Linked DNA regions of Xenopus tropicalis. The protein of the gene in region 2 purifies or fractionates together with the protein of the main gene of each other region. This does not show direct contact. Links are inferred from orthologs where the notes say so. Each region holds a gene or a part of one and is shown on either strand. Other genes may lie near its edges.

Evidence for each region. Proteins that work in one complex are often made in the same cells at the same time.
Region 1: the proteins of nf2 (region 2) and amotl1 purify together in Homo sapiens (affinity purification with mass spectrometry; 6 studies listed by BioGRID and IntAct, counting the BioPlex papers as one, with this or other methods). This does not show direct contact. The link is inferred for Xenopus tropicalis from reciprocal best matches to the Homo sapiens genes NF2 and AMOTL1.

Annotation. Positions count from the first base shown.
Region 1 is NC_030678.2:164,971,071-164,974,570, forward strand, and holds part of amotl1 (angiomotin like 1), read right to left. Parts: coding exon 3,289-3,500; intron 1-3,288. UniProt on the Homo sapiens protein: Inhibits the Wnt/beta-catenin signaling pathway, probably by recruiting CTNNB1 to recycling endosomes and hence preventing its translocation to the nucleus.
Region 2 is NC_030677.2:144,769,172-144,772,671, reverse strand, and holds part of nf2 (merlin), read left to right. Parts: intron 1-3,168; coding exon 3,169-3,291; intron 3,292-3,500. UniProt on the Homo sapiens protein: Probable regulator of the Hippo/SWH (Sav/Wts/Hpo) signaling pathway, a signaling pathway that plays a pivotal role in tumor suppression by restricting proliferation and promoting apoptosis.

The DNA of each region.
Region 1 (3,500 bases), on a different chromosome or scaffold from region 2:
ACCCAGCCGCTCTCACCCTAACCCGCCCACTCTCAACCCTAACCCGGCCACTCTCCAGGAGCAGTAACCCATAGCAACCAATAAGATATTTACTTTAAAACAGGTGACCAGCAAATTCCACCTTTTGATTGGTTGCTATGGATTACTGCTTCTGGGCAAACGTAGAGCCTTTCACTACTTAACCCCTTAAGACCAGAGATCCTTTCTCTTAGCCCCAGCCAAACATACATACAGATGCAGCCAAGTTCCTTTACCATGTTGTCCCATTATGTCTCTCCAGTTAACATGGGGGAAAAATCTACAAAAAATCACCACCAGGTGGTGCATTGTCTATGGCATTTTCTATTGTGTTTTGGTGCAGTCTAGCACCATCTAGAAGAAGGATTTAACACTCAAAAATGGTGTCTGGACATGGTGAGACAAAATGTGAAAACTTTCTGACTGCATATAGTTTATTATGTCCCAACTGTATGGACCTTGGCACTCCCCTCCCTGCCTTCCCTCAACTAACTCTTCTGGACTTCATCTGGGAAACACTGAAGGTCCAAACAGAACAAAGTGCTTGATATACAGATGTGAAGAACATATTCATATTGGAAACACATGGGCACAGGCCTTCAGTCTGACAGTGTTGCCTAAGCAGACTCTCGTTATGGGCACTAGGGCACTTTTGTAAGTAATCTGGCCTCCTTACCAGCAGGTACCTCCCAGGAAAACTTTCCAAAGAGGGGTTTCATTAGCACATTCTGTATCTGGGATTACTAATTCTGAATAGGTACACTCACTGGTACCCAGTAAATTAACCCCACTCACTCAAACTTCTCACATAACTAACTTGGTTGGAATTTGTTCCATTAAAGCCTCACATGGATGACCAACCTTTGGCCTGGGCCCTCCTTAGCTCATCACAAGCTTGCAGATGTATGAAAATATTGTGTAGTGTAAATTCAAGCATATCTAGAACAGCAAATAAATTCACCCCCCTCTCAGCTGACCCTAAATGGACATGAAGATGGGTTTCAGGTATATCTAGAAGAGCTTGGTGTCACACCTTGGCCGTAAGTATCATACAGATGGGTGTTAGGACCCTGTGGTGCCTTCTGGTAGCACTTCCTTGTATATAATTAATCTTTTAACCACAAAAACGCTAAATATTTACAAACCCGGTATATTTAGAAACAATAAAATTCCTAGTTGTCCATGGTGACACATTCATCACCGCTTCTCCAGAAAACAAATGGCTTCCATATTGGCAGTAGACGCATTTTCAGCATATATACATCCCTTTAGAACAATAAAATATTCCTCTCTTCTGTTTCTCTCCTGTAATTTTTCTCATGGCGGCTCCAATTAAATATTCCCAAAGGTGCAACTCCCACGGTCTTGGCTGCGCTCACTTGGAAGGCTGAAACGCTCTCTTTTCCCAAATACCTCTCCATCCCAATTATATATATATAGCAGTTTCCAAGCATGAGAAAGAGACGGGCACGTTTTTCAGATCCACGGGAAATACACTGAGTTTTATAGGGAATGTGATCTGAGCGGCATTTCCCATGGTCAACATGGTTTATCAGCAACTGATATCCATAGGGAGGCTGATATAGCATAGGGGATAGGCTGGCCGGCATATATGCACATAAAGATTTTTCTTTGCGTCTTCCTTATCTGTGAGCTGCCATATTGTTTCCTCAGCCAATGAGGGATGCCACCATCTCCTATTATGAACAAGGGGCACCATGGGGGTGGTTGTGGCACTGCATCACTAAGCATTTTTACCAGCCAGGTCGCAACCCTGGGGGCAAACAAAGCCTCTCCAATGCTGGAGTCATGTATTTAGCATCAAGGGTCTAAACAAGTGCCTCATCCATCACAAAACCAGTACAAATTAGTAACTGGAGGCCAGAAAGTCTGTAGGTTCTGATGCAGTAAGTTACCCTTTAAATAAAAAATGAACCTTCTACGATCTAACACCTAAGGGAAAGGGGAATCATTTAACCATGAAATAAACCCAATAGGACTGTTCTGCCCCAATAAGGGGTAATTATATCTTAGTTGGGATCAAGTACAGGTACTGTTTTATTATTACAGAGAAAAGGGAATCATTTAACCATTAAATAAACCCAATAGGGCTGTTCTGCCCCCAATAAGGGGTAATTATATCTTAGTTGGGATCAAGTACAGGTACTGTTTTATTATTACAGAGAAAAGGGAATCATTTAACCATGAAATAAACCCAATAGGGCTGTTCTGCCCCCAATAAGGGGTAATTATATCTTAGTTGGGATCAAGTACAGGTACTGTTTTATTATTACAGAGAAAAGGGAATCATTTAACCATGAAATAAACCCAATAGGGCTGTTCTGCCCCCAATAAGGGGTAATTATATCTTAGTTGGGATCAAGTACAGGTACTGTTTTATTATTACAGAGAAAAGGGAATCATTTAACCATTAAATAAACCCAATAGGGCTGTTCTGCCCCAATAAGGGGTAATTATATCTTAGTTGGGATCAAGTACAGGTACTGTTTTATTATTACAGAGAAAAGGGAATCATTTAACCATGAAATAAACCCAATAGGGCTGTTCTGCCCCAATAAGGGGTAATTATATCTTAGTTGGGATCAAGTACAGGTACTGTTTTATTATTACAGAGAAAAGGGAATCATTTAACCATTAAATAAACCCAATAGGGCTGTTCTGCCCCCAATAAGGGGTAATTATATCTTAGTTGTGATCAAGTACAGGTACTGTTTTATTACTACAGAGAAAAATGAAATCAGTTTTACAATTCTGAATTATTTGATTAAAATGGGAGACAGGCTTTCCGTAATTTGGAGCTTTCTGGATAAGGGATCCCATACCTGTATCTATTTTATTGGTATTTTTCTATCAGAGTATAAGATGTTTCTGTAAGGATGTACAATAGCCCCATGCTGGTCTATCATACATTCCATTCCAAGTGTTCTCCATGCAGCTCCCATATATTAACTGGATGTGCCAATGAGACTTGTGTGCACAGAACTAGATTTGGATCAGCACACAAGCATTTAGGCTACTTCAGTAGCAGCACTGTTTGAGCCGGGGACACACGAGGGGGACTCGTGTCTTACAGGTTCTCTATATCTCAACCCATACAGCAGCCCAATGTACCAGGAACATACCTGCCAGTGACGTAACGATATACAATGAAATACTATATGTTACTTATCAGCACCATGCAGTCTATTCAACATGAAATATGAAAAACGTAACGGCACAAGCAAAGGGACAAACAGATTATGAAGTTACCTGGTTATATTATACTCGGGAGGGTGCTGGTATCGCAGGACCTCACTCCTGGCTGGCTGTATGGTTAGAAATGGCTTACTTACATCCTGAGCCCCAGGGTGTTGCTGTTCATTGTAATAATGAACCTGTTCTTGCATTTTGTTCATGGGACTGACTATCTGCTTCACCTTGGAGGGATAGTCTGGAGGGGGCCCTCTCTGCTCCATCTCTTT
Region 2 (3,500 bases):
TTGCTGAGAATAATATGCATATTATTGTATTGTTTTTGTATGGTAAAAGCATAGTCTAATTTTCATACAGTTGTTTTTTTACACAGTACTTTGTCTGAGCTCTTTTTTCAGAATGGTACTTTTCCCAGGGCACTGAAGAACCATTTTTGTTACTTGATTTTAAAGTTTTAGGGTAATGACACACAGAGCTGCTTGCAACCAGCTACAGAATAGACAGTACTGATGATTTCCTCTACATGTGTTTTAGCAGAGACAATTCTCAATATTGTATCTGCTAAAACACATGTAGAGAAAATAAGTATTGTCTATTTTGTAGTAGGCTGGAAATAGCTCAGTGTGTCATAGCCCTTAGAGCAGGGATTTCCAACCTTTTTTACTTATCATCCATATCTTGGTGAGCCACACAAGCGTGAAAAAGGTTCCTTAAGGATGCTAAATAAGGGCCTGTGATTGGTTATTTGGTAGCCCATGTGAACTCCTAACCTGCACAAGGCTCTGCTTGGACAAAAACTGTGTCTATATGCTTCCAAAACTTGTCTTCAAGCCAGAAATGTAAAAATGGGCACCTACTTTGAGGCGACTGGGAGCAACATCAAAGGGGATGGTGAGTTACATGTTGCTCATGAGCCACTGGTTGGGGATCACTGCCTTGGGTGGCAGAGTTTGTTGCCACTTGTTTTGATGAACCCTAATCCCTTTAAGGTGCTGCAATTGTCAGTATATCCCATTGAGTGGTCCAGATTGGGCCTGGTAACAGTTAAAGGAACAGTAACACCAAAAACTGAAAGTGTTTTAGGGATGCACCAAATCCACTATTTTGGGATTCAGCTGAACCCCGAATCAGCACATGCAAATAAAGGCACAGAAGTAAAAAGATCTGTGAGTAGTGAAAAATGTTCACCTTCCTTGTCTATGTGATAAAGTCACACGATTTTAAGGATTCAGATTCAGTTTGTCCAGGACCATTCTGGATTTGGAGCATCCCTATTTTTAAAGTGATTAAAATATAATTGACTGTTGCCCTGTACTGGTAAAAGTTTTGTGTTTGCTTTAGCAACATTACTATAGTTATATATATAAGTTGCTGTGTAGCCATGGGGGCAGCCATTCAAGCTAAAAGAAAGGAGAAAAGGCACAGGTTACATAGCAGATAACAGATAAAATACCCATGTATTCTACTGGTCTGTTATCTGCTATGTAACCTGTGCCTTTTCTCCTTTCTTTTAGCTTGAATGGCTGCCCCCAGGGCTACACAGCAGCATTGTTTTATTTATAGGATTCCTGAAGCAAACACACCAATTTACCAGTGCAGAGTAAACAGTACATTATGTTTTAATTACTTTGAAAGGAACAATAACACCAGATACAGTGTTTTAAAATAATTAAAATATAATGTACTGTTGCTTTGCTTTTACTGATCTATTTGCTTCAGGAAAACTACTAGTTTAGAAGGAATTAAGGGCCGCCTTCTGGGATCATAGGATTCACAGTGCACACTATCAAGCCAAGGCACACATACATGCTAGGCCACATCGGCCAATTAATGGACAGAGTTCTGCTTTTGCTTCCATGCTACTTCCTGTTACAGTTAGAGCTGCATTATTTCCTGTCAGGTGATCTCTGAGGGAGCACACAGCCCATCACTAAATGGTGTGTATATATATATATATATATATATAAAATAGATGTGTAGAAAGCACTCACAGCATATAAAAGTAAAACAAAAATGTATTTGTTTATTAGCTCATCGCATCTACGCGTTTCGATCCTAATAGGATCGTCATCAGGATCCTATTAGGATCGAAACGCGTAGATGCGATGAGCTAATAAACAAATACATTTTTGTTTTACTTTTATATGCTGTGAGTGCTTTCTACACATCTATTGTTTACTTTTTGGTTAGCACCCGGCTAGTGCTCTTGAAACGGTGAGTGCCGATTTTTTTTTGATTATATATATATATGGATCGTTTTCATTAAAGAAATTTTTTGTTTTCTAAAAAAGTCCCTGCGTGTGCGGCTCATTGTCTTGCTATATATATATATATATATATATATATGTGTGTGTGTAAAAAGGTCCCAAAAGGGACCGAAACGTCGGTTGTACATGCAATTTTAATACACGAGAGATTTTTTGAAACACAAAGACCCTTGGTGCTGGCTGTTTTATTTTGATATATATATGTGTATATATATATATATATATATATATATATTCCAGTTTGCCGAGATTCTTTAATAGGTCACTTAACATAAACTATCTGTTAGTTAGGTATTCATTCTGGGGGTATAGTTTTCCTTTAAATAATTTTCATGGTGGTCATTCTTATGAAATTTCAGAAAAGAAGACTGGTCTTGTGTGTCCTTAATAGGTTACGTTTGAATTATTCTAAAATTCCTCAGTGGCAGCAATGTAAAGTCCAGTTGCAGCCAGGCAAGAATGTTAATAATGCCATCAAGGGGAAAAGGATGTCACAGTGACACCTTCACAACATGTAACATTCTAACACCCTGCCTACAAGTCATTGACTTGTATCCACATGATTACGCTTGACTAGAATACAGGTCTGTTTTACTGCAAGGGTGAACCACAAGGGGTCAGTGTTAGTACAGGTTCAAGTATAGCATTTTTAATTATTAAACACTAACACTGTGAGGAAGTGCTTCTTCCCGCTGTTTATTTTTCTCCCTTTCAGAGCTTTCATTAACTAAACGCAATTAACAAAATATTTTATTCTTGCAAAGCATGAGTCTAAATAAATAGTTGTAAAGCTCTATATCTGAGACAGATCTTTGTTTTACCTTCATGTTTAATTCATAAATAACTACCATTTTCAGTACAGCCGCATAATAGGGTTATAAACAACACATGCACAAGGTTGAGAAAACAGGGTGGCAGCAGAGGTCCTGCCGGTGATTTCAAATTAATTTTAAGGATGTCTACATATCACAATGCATATTAAAAACCATAATAATGTGTTCTGTGATGGGTGTGGCTGCTGAGACAAGTTTTTACTCTAAGGTTTGGTTGTATTTAATAACACAGCGCCACAGCTTTTAAAGACAGGTTTATACTCTTATGGATTGTTGAAACTTGTTAAAAAAAAAAAAATCCTTGTTATGCCTTAGTAGTCCCTTGTATCACTTTTAACTTGTTGCATCTCTATAGATGGAACGGCAACGCCTGGCACGGGAAAAACAACTGAGGGAAGAGGCGGAAAGAGCCCGGGATGAGCTGGAAAGAAGGCTGCTGCAGCTAAAAGAAGAGGCTCAGATGGCCAATGATGCATTGGTAAGACTTGTCTGTAGAGCCAGGTATTTCATGATTTATTAATAGTGTTACCCATACATATCTAAGCTTGAATGACTTTCTAACTAAACATGTGAGAAGTCATTGTGCTAATGGGGAATGAAAGCTGTTTGCAGCATCGTCAGGCTTCTGTTACTATTTGAGGTCTCTTGTATCTGGGATTGCTAATAAACAGCTCTGTATTGCTGTTC